Linked DNA regions of Xenopus tropicalis. Each later gene encodes a partner of the first gene's protein in a complex. Links are inferred from orthologs where the notes say so. Each region holds a gene or a part of one and is shown on either strand. Other genes may lie near its edges. The genes, in order: eif3i, eif3g and eif3f.

Region 1 (2,400 bases):
GCAATTGAAAAGTTGCTTAGATCTGGCCATTTTACAATTTACTAAAAGTTAACTTAAAAGTGAACCACCCCTTTAAGGTATTAAGAAATGCCTTCTCCTTTAAACAAAACAGGGATTGTTTGTCCATATGTTGCAATAAATTCAAACTGACCAACTACATCAAAAACATTCTTGTGCTGGCCAGTCCTATGCTCAATTATCTTATTCAGTAAGAATTCTAGTGGTTCATTATACATTTTTCAGTTTTACCTAAGTCTTACCTGTACATACAAGGATTAAATGGTGGCAGCGCACTCCCAAAAGAAAGTCAGTGGCGCAGGTGCTATGCAATATAGCAATATGATGATAACTGAGCACTTGTGTGGCTTAGAAAATAAGTGAAAATATTTATTGGTGTTAAACCAATGTTTCGGTCCTACACTTTGAAACTTAATATCATATCTTTAACACGTACAATTTCAATAACCCTTCAATAGACTTTTTTCAGTTTCTATTCATCTACTGTATTCTTTACAGCTGTTTGACAGTACATCACTTGAGCATCAGAAAACTTTCAGGACTGAAAGACCTGTTAACTCTGCTGCCATCTCACCCATATATGACCATGTAAGTGTTTATTGTGAAATGTAAATGCCTTGTGCCAGTATGTAAAGATTCTGTTGCTGACATGTGCCCCTGCTTTGTAGGTAGTTTTAGGAGGAGGACAGGAAGCTATGGATGTAACCACAACATCAACAAGAATTGGAAAGTTTGAGGCCAGGTAAGTCAGAGTCCCTCCTGACCAAACCTATAGGCTTTACTAGGCCACTTTTTAATTTCCTTATCTTTTAAGGTTCTTCCATGTGGCTTTTGAGGAGGAGTTTGGCAGAGTAAAAGGCCATTTTGGGCCTATTAACAGTTTGGCATTCCATCCAGATGGCAAGAGGTAAGTTAAGGTGACGTTAGTAGCATAGAAATGTACAGTTTTACCTATCAGGAATTTATTCCTTTTTTTTTTTTTATGCATCTTTAGTTACAGCAGCGGAGGAGAGGATGGATACGTTAGAATACATTACTTTGACCCACAATATTTCGACTTTGAATTTGAGTCGTGAGACAGCTGCTTCGTGCTTGGTTATATCCTACTTCACATCTTTGCATACACACACACACACACACACACACACACACAATTGTATTGACTGCTCAATGATATCTTTACAATAAATGTTACTATATTTATTGAAGCAAAATAAACATACTTTGCCACTGTTCTTTCCCCACCAAAATGTTTCACATACATTTATCTGTGGGAAGGAAAATAACACAATGCATTTTTAAGAGATAGTGACACAAGAAATCTACTGTAACACTTTTTTTGCATGCTATTTATAATTTTGCCTTAAAAGTATTTGGCCAATGCTTTTACATTACCTATGTCATCCCCCTTTTTCCTCTGTGAGGGGGCTGCAGTAGTCTTTTAGCATTTAAAACTCTGACAGGTTGGTAAAACAGTCATATTGAGGATCTTCAAGTAACCATTGCTTAGAAAAGCAGACTATCAACTAGAACTATAGGTAACTTTTACTGTACTTTAATATTTGAGAGTAGTTTTTTAGTGTCAGTATCACTTTAATCATTGGGTGTGCTATACAGAGAGGGCTCAGTAATTACATCCTTTAATTCACATGCAGCTTCTCAGGTTGGAAACATACTGCAATTATCATTAATCCAGGACAAAGCAACAGGCATGAATTTCTATTAAATGGATTTATGCTTTGATGTCAGGGGTGGTTTGTATTTTCCCTCTGAAACAACATCTGACAGTATGAGAAATAAACTGCCTTTAACTTATCTTTGTGTACTACATTTGTTTAGATAGCCATTTGTACCTTTTTGTTTCCCCTCCAATCTTTTGATATACTGGACACGTGGGCACTGAGACTTTATTTTAACCTCTAAAGTTATTGTTTCTGTCGGAGGCATTTTTTATGCTCCTGTGAGCTCAACCATCTTCATCCATGCCATTTCTGTGTGTTCTAAGGGTAGCAGGTATCGAAGAAAGAAACCTGATGAGATAAAAAAATATTCGTTTTTAGAACCCACATTACTACCTTGTATTATATACTACTTATTGATAATGTATCTAAAGCGCCAAAATATTCTGCAGCTGTATACATTGAATATACAACTTGCATACAAAAACAAGAACTATACAAGAGGTACCTTGTAATGATTTTGCAGCTTGCCTCACCTGCCCATAACTGTAAGCTTTGTGGTGCAACAGAAGGCCAGATAACTAAAGGATTTTCTTGATATATTGGATTCAGAAGCTGCTGTCGCTCTTTTGGCTGGTTAAGGTGACCCCACAGCGAGTGTGTCCGATCTTGCACCTCATACTGACATCTGGTGGGAAAATAA
Region 2 (4,252 bases), on another chromosome or scaffold:
TAAACCTACCGTTGAAATGATACTGTTCTGAGACTTTTCATTTCTTTGTCAATGGACAAACTTACAAAATCAGTGAGGGGTCAAATAATTATTTCCTCCACTGTATATCTACCTCTCTCTTCTCTACTCTCCTTTTTCTTTGCAGCTTTATTACCCATTCACCCTACGTTTCTGCAATCTCATTATTTCCTCCTATGCCTCATTCTGCCAACCTCTGTATCATCATGTACTTGCCAGTTTGGATGGGGCAATTGATAAAAGAATATGCTTTAATAATTAATCTGCATAAATTCCTTGGAGCTTCACTGAGCCACAAGACATGGACCTGCGGGCTGTTTGTGGCCATCAGTTGAACAGCGCCGTTCTACAGGATAAATACAGAGATCTAGGATCTGCTGCTTTAGCCTATATTCAGCCAGTTCCTCAATAAACCAGTGACCACTATCTTGCCACACTAGGCGCATAGGAAACAAGTATATAATATATACACACTGACATGTCCTTAGGCAGTCTGTATAAATGAACCTACAAAAACTCACGGCTGTCTAGAATGCAAGAGACATTTAGCCAATAATAATTTAACACAGAAGCTAAAAAGAAAAACAAAAAAAAAACACAGAAAATATATTCAAACATTTTGCTTTCATGTTGTCAGGGATAAGGAACCTTATGAAATAATAAAAGACATACTGCATTCATAGCATCTGTAGCAGATGTAAGCCTTTCTCCCATAAGTACACAGAGTATGAAAATGAAACAAAGTGCAAGCCCTCCCCACCAATAATAATGCGCTGTCCCTACCTTGATTTTCTTGCCTTCATCATTCAGCTTGTACTCTGTGATAGTTTTGATTTTACCATTGATGACCTCTTGAGGAGTGTCCAGAACAACTGGGGGGGGGTAAAATCATAATCATAACAGACAGCCTGCTCAAACATACACACAACAAGGCCTAAATTCAGCCAGCTATTACTGTGGGGTAAAGCTGTCCAGCTTATTGCATGTAGTGGGCTAATTATTTCTCATATACAATGTTTGGATTATTACATTAAAATTATTTCATACAGTGAATTCCATAGAGCTTTAAAGCAGACTGGGGGCCATAAAGCATATCTGGAGGGCCACATTCAGTCGGTGGGCCTCCAGTTGCTGTGGGGTAACTGTAGTGAGTGGAATTCTAATTTAAAATATACAGTTCAGCTCCACTACCCAAAACAGGACTTTATAGGAGCACTAAATGAGAAAGTTTGAGAATGTTCGGCTATCTGCTTTGTCTACACTGCTGAAAAGTCAACAGAGGAAGAAATAAGTGGGATCTAAAGCTAAAAAAATTAACATTTATTGACATAATTACACTGTTTACATTAACCTTCTATTTTAGTGCTAATAAGAGGCTCTTGGCTCAGCAGCAATCAGAGCAGTCAGACTGTACCTAAGTGACTATGCACAACCTGGACAGGCTGGTCACTGACTTTCAAGAGAGCTGCTAGGCTAAAAACGCGGTATTAGCAGTCTAATGTGGTCTTGTGACACGCAAGGCAGTTCCATGCCCTTTCTGCCCCTGTAGCCGGATACCCTTGTGTAGGTCTGCAAATAAATACTCACAGCTGGCTGGATCTTGTTGGACCTTGGTGACTGGTGGACTTATGGGTTCTGGGTCTATTCCTTCCTCCTCCACCTGGTCAGCCCAGCTGGGCTTGGAGCTGAAAGGATAAACAGAGATCTCAGACTAGATACCCACATCTGCCAGCCTGGCATTCAGCCTCGTACCCGCTCCCTCCCTGGTGGGGAGGGCTCATCCCATCCCAAATTAGTATTGTTTCACTCATCACCTATAAGTTCCTAACCCCTCTCAGCCAGAAGCTAGCCTGTAATATCCATTGAACTCCCAGCATACACTGCAAGCCAGAGGGTTGCAGGTTGGACTAGAGCTGGGCGGTATGACCAAAAATTTATATCACGGTATTTTTCAAAATTATATCGGTGTCACGGTATTTGACGGTATTTTTTTTTCCATGCATGATTAGGTGTTAACCCCATTTCCTAATAAATTAGAGAATAATTACTGCAGTATTGAAAATCAGAGTCAGGCAAGTGAAGGATCGGCAACAGAAAGTCGTAAGGTAAATCAGGCAGGCTTAGTTTCCCAGGCAAGGCCGCAGACAACATAGCACAGGAGGAGGCGTTTGATAACTTTAAATACCCCCCACGCATGCGCAGAACCGGCGCCATCAGCGCGTCATAGACGCGCACGCTTTGACATGTACGTGCGCTTTGACGCATGCGCACCTGGGCGCGCGTGCGCAACGTCCCATGGACAACGGGACACGCGCGAGACCGGGCCGCACGGGTGAGTACCCTGACACCCCGGTATTGCGGTATCTGAAAAATGAATATAGTTTTATAAAAAAAAAAAACGGTATTCGGTATTAAACGGTATATCGCCCAGCCCTAGGTTGGACCTCCCTACCCTACACACTATGGCTCTCCCAGCCTTACATACACTTGGATACCCAGATGTTGGTGAACTACAACTCACATGGCTGGGACTTGTAGTCAGGACTGGATCCAATCGTGCAATTCAATGATACAGAGGCTCCCACAGGCCCAATAAAACAGTGACAGCGCCCCCTCTGGCATTTGCCAGAGCGCACAGATGGCCAGACCGGGCCCGCTTGTAGTCCACCAACATCTGGAAATCCTAAAGTAGGACACAGGGTCCCAAAGGCTGAACGTCTCCCCTAAATCTCCATTTGGCCACAGACTCTCACTCCAACCGTGACTACAGTGTGTGTTCCCTGCCCTCCTACTCCCCGCTTGGCTCCCATGCTATTTCCCCGCACATACTCATAGTCTTCGGTCGGCATGTCTGTGGTGCGCTGGGCCGCGGCTGCTAGCGCTTCCGGAAGCTGAAGAGAGAGATGGCTCCACACTGCGCGCTAGTAACAAGCTCAGGCCGCCGGATAGAGAGGTACTTCCGGTGCCGCTCTAGTCTGCGGTCGGCATGTCTGTGCTGCACTGGGCCGCGGCTGCTAGCGCTTCCGGAAGCTGAAGAGAGAGATGGCTCCACACTGCGCGCTAGTAACAAGCTCAGGCCGCCGGATAGAGAGGTACTTCCGGTGCCGCTCTAGTCTGCGGTCGGCATGTCTGTGCTGCACTGGGCCGCGGCTGCTAGCGCTTCCGGAAGCTGAAGAGAGAGATGGCTCCACACTGCGCGCTAGTAACAAGCTCAAGCTGGCGGATAGAGAGGCGCTTCCGGTGCCGCTCTATAGTGCTGTCCTTCAATTTCCACTATCTAATCCGAGAATTCGGAGGCGGAAGTCGATTTGCTGTAGCGCTTGTATTTAGTGCCAGTACTTTTCCCTCACTTTGTACTAGTTACTGGCACTTGGCGGTTACCGTGCCCTGTGGCTAATAGATTATTGCCGATTATAGGGCGGCGCACAGCGGATATTTGCTTGGGCCCCTTATTATTTCAGTGGCCTCATGATAAATAATGTGAATGGAGGCTGTTGGTTGCGTGTAGTCTATCACTAGCAGGGTCTGTTGGTTGGTCGTCCAATGCTTTCCCTCAGCTGGGCCCATAAGCTGCAGTGTTGCCATGAGGCCGGAGTTCTAGCTCTCATTATGCTTGAGCTTTGGTTACAGTTGTGAGGAACTCAGCCCCCAGCACATTGAAATCCATTGTACTAACCTGGTAACAACCCTAATGCCCCTCCTGTCTCTAAACTCCTCTCACTCACATCCTCCTTTGGGTTATCTCTGTGCTCTGACTCCCCCTCTCACTCCAATGGGAACTCCCTGGATCTAATATTTACAAAATTCTGTTCAATCCCCTTTCCCCCTCTCATCATAATCTGCTCACATTTCAACTCCCTCTGTACCTTCTGCAGTCCCCCAAACATGCACATACCGACACCTGCAGTCCCCCAAACATGCACATACCGACACCTGCAGTCCCCCAAACGTGCACATACCGACACCTGCAGTCCCCCAAACGTGCACATACCGACACCTGCAGTCCCTCAAACGTGCACATACCGACACCTGCAGTCCCCCAAACGTGCACATACCGACACCTGCAGTCCCCCAAACGTGCACATACCGACACCTGCAGTCCCCCAAACGTGCACATACCGACACCTGCAGTCCCCCAAACGTGCACATACCGACACCTGCAGTCCCCCAAACGTGCACATACCGACACCTGCAGTCCCCCAAACGTGCACATACCGACACCTGCAGTCCCCCA
Region 3 (4,282 bases), on another chromosome or scaffold:
CTTCTGGGTCGATCTTAGGAACCTGGGTGACCAGATCCATCAGGAAGCGCCCGACTGTGTTGTCTGCCGTCACCTTCCCCGACTTCCGAGAGAGAGAGACAGGGGTTAAGGGTGAACGGGGAGTAAGAACCAATCAGAGGGGGTGATGGGAGCTGCACTCACCAGTACATCCTCGGCATACTGCAGTACCGTGCTGAGGGAATCCTGCAGTCTGTTAGCCGCCACCCCCACCTGCTGCAGGTCAGTGGTCAGGCCAATGGAGCGGTTGGGATTGGCGCAGGTCTTGGTGATCAGATCCACTGTGAGGAGACAGACGGGATTATATATACATGCTGTAGGGCATCGCGGGCATGAAAGCTACAAACCCTACAGGCTTGGAACCCCGGCTGCCACTAGAGGCGCCAGAGGGCTCGCAGGTACCAGGCACTCACCTCCTATCCGCTCTGTGTCATAGTAGACATACTGCACGGTGAGAGGGGTGAACATGACGCCCATGGTTTTGCCGGGAACGCCCATCGGGGAGCTGTGGGAAAGAGCAGGAGAGGCATTCAGCCAATGGAACGTCCCATACGCTTGTTGGGAGGGAGGTTGGCGCCCCCGTACCTGATATAGGCCTTTATGTTCATACGGTTCCCCTGCAGGCTGGTATCCACCGTCATGTGAATGGGATTGGTGGCCTCGCGGCTGTAGTACTCATGGATCAGAACAGAGTGCTCGGTGATGTCATTTCCTGTGGCGTACCTGCAACGTATCAGAACACACACGGCTCAGGGGACAGGAAGTGCCACACACACACTGGGCTCGGGGGGAACGGGAAGCGCCACACACACACTGGGCTCGGGGGGAACGGGAAGCGCCACACACACACTGGGCTCGGGGGGAACGGGAAGCGCCACACACACACTGGGCTCGGGGGGAACGGGAAGCGCCACACACACTGGGCTCGGGGGGAACGGGAAGCGCCACACACACTGGGGTAGGGGGGACGGGAAGCGCCACACACACACACACTGGGGCAGGGGGGGACGGGAAGCGCCACACACCACACTGGGGCAGGGGGGGGACGGGAAGCGCCACACACACACACTGCGCTCAGGGGGGGACGGGAAGCGCCACACACACACACACACACACACTGGGCTCAGGGGGGGACGGGAAGCGCCACACACACACACTGGGCTCAGGGGGAACGGGAAGCGCCCCACACACACACTGGGCTCAGGGGGGACGGGAAGCGCCCCACACACACACTGGGCTCAGGGGGGACGGGAAGCGCCACACACACTGGGCTCAGGGGGGACGGGAAGCGCCACACACACTGGGCTCAGGGGGGACGGGAAGCGCCACACACACTGGGCTCAGGGGGGACGGGAGGCGCCACACACACTGGGCTCAGGGGGGACGGGAGGCGCCACACACACTGGGGCAGGGGGGGACGGGAGGCGCCACACACACTGGGGCAGGGGGGGACGGGAGGCGCCACACACACTGGGGCAGGGGGGGACGGGAGGCGCCACACACACTGGGGCAGGGGGGACGGGAGGCGCCACACACACTGGGGCAGGGGGGGGACGGGAGGCGCCACACACACTGGGGCAGGGGGGGACGGGAGGCGCCACACACACTGGGGCAGGGGGGGACGGGAGGCGCCACACACACTGGGGCAGGGGGGGACGGGAGGCGCCACACACACTGGGGCAGGGGGGGACGGGAGGCGCCACACACACTGGGGCAGGGGGGGACGGGAGGCGCCACACACACTGGGGCAGGGGGGACGGGAGGCGCCACACACACTGGGGCAGGGGGGGACGGGAGGCGCCACACACACTGGGGCAGGGGGGGGACGGGAGGCGCCACACACACTGGGGCAGGGGGGGATGGGAAGTACCACTTACCAGCCCACAATCTGCTCAGTGGAGGTAACTTTCTTATGCAGCTCGTACATGTTCTTGGCAAACTCCATGTCGACAGCCACCTGGGGTAATTACAGAGGGCATGAAATACTGAGCAGGGCAACACTACACAGGGTAGGAATGGGGTGTGCGGGCCCGACACAACTCTCACCCTACCCTGCCCTCCCCCGAGTATGTATATCTGAGACTCCCCTGGGTGTAATCGGGGGAAGGGAGGGGGGCAGTGGGGATTGGGTCTGGGTTGGTGGGCCCATCAGGCTTTTCCCCCAGTGTCCCGCTGGCCCAGACCAACCCCCACACTACTCAGGCTACAGCAAGTGATTCAGGGGAAACTCCCCCAATACTCCCCAATATACACGTACATTTCCCAAATGTTATTAAATATAGTTTCTATGGATTCCCCGCACTGCTGCTACTGACTGCCAACACATTATAGCCCAAGGCAGCCAATTACCAGCCAGCTACATTGGTTCAGGAGTCAGAGCCCGGACTCGGTAGGAGACACCTACACACCCAATAACGGTCTGAACCCCAAACTGAAGCCATAGGGCCGCTGTATGTGCCCAGTGGGGGGGGGGGCAGCACCCACCTGAATAAACACCCCCACATATTATTATTAATGGTACAAACCTCATCCTCAGACTCATTGTGCGGGACGGAGAAGCAGTTGGTCACCTCCACTGAGTGTTTGTCTGTCGTCCCTGTAATCACACAACAACCAATGGTTACATCTCAGTACTGAATACAGCTCTTGTCACAACGAACCCTTTTTGTCCCACTGCGGCTCCCGTCACTTATACCCCCCCACGGTAACCAGGGCCCCCCCTTACCCAAAAGGGTGCCAATAACCCGCCCGGCTCCTTCGTTTCTCCTCTCATAACTGTCCACGATGGAGGCTAAGACCACCGGATGGACCTTCACTACCGGACCGTGCAGCATGGCTGATCCCGCCGCGGATAGAGAGCCGGCAGCCGCCATCTTAACTAGGGCAGACGCGCAAGAGGGGGGATCATGGGCGGGGCTTCAGTGAGTCACAAAACGCCGCATTCCGATTGGACCACATACAGGAAGTGCTTGCACGTACGCCGGGAACGTCGACGCTAGGCGCGTCGCTTTGTTCCTGATTGGCGCTTACGGAGGGACGCCTTCGAGGCGCAATGCTTTACTGTGATTGGTCATAAAGCAGTCCATCAAAAATAATATTGCTGCGATTGGCTGTACGCCTCCCAATGTTCTTATATACAGGGAGTTCTGGTGTTTAATGTTTATGTGGAGCTGCCCAGGTCTCTATCTATCTCAGTATTAACCATTAGGTGGACGTTTCCAGTTCAGGTTTCTGAAAAACACATTTATATATAAATATTGGTATATATTTAGTATATACCTCTGCCATAGGGGAGGGAAGCTCCTCACAAGCCAAATAAATATAATTGTTTAATCAACTGTGGGTAATTTATTAAAACTTCAATAAAAAATATTGTCTAATTCAAGTTTATTGATCACAAAAATAAAGGGAAACTTGAATTGACCCCCCCCCCCAACCCAAACAAAGCAGCATTTTGGAAAGATACAGAATAATAAGGCTAATAATGTCGAATAAAAAAAGACCAATTGTCAGGCTGCTTCGTACAGGACCTTTTAGAACACACTAAACGATTAGGAATCTGGAGTATCAGAAACAACCAATCAGTGAGTGTCCTGTATCTCTGGGGGGGGTTTAAGGGTTAAGGAACCTTCATCCCTGTTTGGGAAGAGTAGGGAGTTGTGAAATGTTCTATACATAGAGCCAAATACAGAACTAACAGGGTTTATATACAGCCCGACCCACTGAGTGCCTTCTGCTTCTGCCGGCATGGCGGCTCTGATCCTGGTCATTATTGGTAAGAGCCATATTATTCTTATATTCCTTATCTCTTCAGACAGAATGCTCTGTTATACAGATAGCTAGAATCTCAGCCATAAAGCAGGGCAGGACTGCTGCTTACAATGGGGGGATCAGATAGGATCTGTGCCACTGTGACAGAATGCTCTGTTATACAGATAGCTAGAATCTCAGCCATAAAGCAGGGCAGGACTGCTGCTTACAATGGGGGGATCAGATAGGATCTGTGCCACTGTGACAGAATGCTCTGTTATACAGATAGCTAGAATCTCAGCCATAAAGCAGGGCAGGACTGCTGCTTACAATGGGGGGGGATCAGATAGGATCTGTGCCACTGTGACAGAATGCTCTGTTATACAGATAGCTAGAATCTCAGCCATAAAGCAGGGCAGGACTGCTGCTTACAATGGGGGGATCAGATAGGATCTGTGCCACTGTGACAGAATGCTCTGTTATACAGATAGCTAGAATCTCAGCCATAAAGCAG

Evidence for each region.
Region 2: eif3i (region 1) and eif3g share a complex: the UniProt entries of both Homo sapiens proteins name them as parts of the eukaryotic translation initiation factor 3 (eIF-3) complex. The link is inferred for Xenopus tropicalis from reciprocal best matches to the Homo sapiens genes EIF3I and EIF3G.
Region 3: eif3i (region 1) and eif3f share a complex: the UniProt entries of both Homo sapiens proteins name them as parts of the eukaryotic translation initiation factor 3 (eIF-3) complex. The link is inferred for Xenopus tropicalis from reciprocal best matches to the Homo sapiens genes EIF3I and EIF3F.

What each region holds. Positions count from the first base shown.
Region 1 is NC_030678.2:86,496,799-86,499,198, reverse strand, and holds the end of eif3i (eukaryotic translation initiation factor 3 subunit I), read left to right. Parts: intron 1-516; coding exon 517-606; intron 607-686; coding exon 687-760; intron 761-832; coding exon 833-925; intron 926-1,012; coding exon 1,013-1,094; 3' UTR 1,095-1,833; downstream 1,834-2,400. Other genes in the region: uncharacterized protein LOC100216114, read right to left, coding at 2,100-2,385. UniProt on the Homo sapiens protein: Component of the eukaryotic translation initiation factor 3 (eIF-3) complex, which is required for several steps in the initiation of protein synthesis.
Region 2 is NC_030679.2:137,098,124-137,102,375, forward strand, and holds the start of eif3g (eukaryotic translation initiation factor 3 subunit G), read right to left. Parts: upstream 2,900-4,252; 5' UTR 2,868-2,899; coding exon 2,848-2,867; intron 1,704-2,847; coding exon 1,606-1,703; intron 891-1,605; coding exon 802-890; intron 1-801. UniProt on the Homo sapiens protein: RNA-binding component of the eukaryotic translation initiation factor 3 (eIF-3) complex, which is required for several steps in the initiation of protein synthesis.
Region 3 is NC_030684.2:141,318,925-141,323,206, reverse strand, and holds the start of eif3f (eukaryotic translation initiation factor 3 subunit F), read right to left. Parts: upstream 2,902-4,282; 5' UTR 2,892-2,901; coding exon 2,744-2,891; intron 2,615-2,743; coding exon 2,544-2,614; intron 1,976-2,543; coding exon 1,896-1,975; intron 742-1,895; coding exon 604-741; intron 524-603; coding exon 432-523; intron 300-431; coding exon 163-299; intron 83-162; coding exon 1-82. Other genes in the region: fcrlb (Fc receptor-like B), read left to right, coding at 3,766-3,793. UniProt on the Homo sapiens protein: Component of the eukaryotic translation initiation factor 3 (eIF-3) complex, which is required for several steps in the initiation of protein synthesis.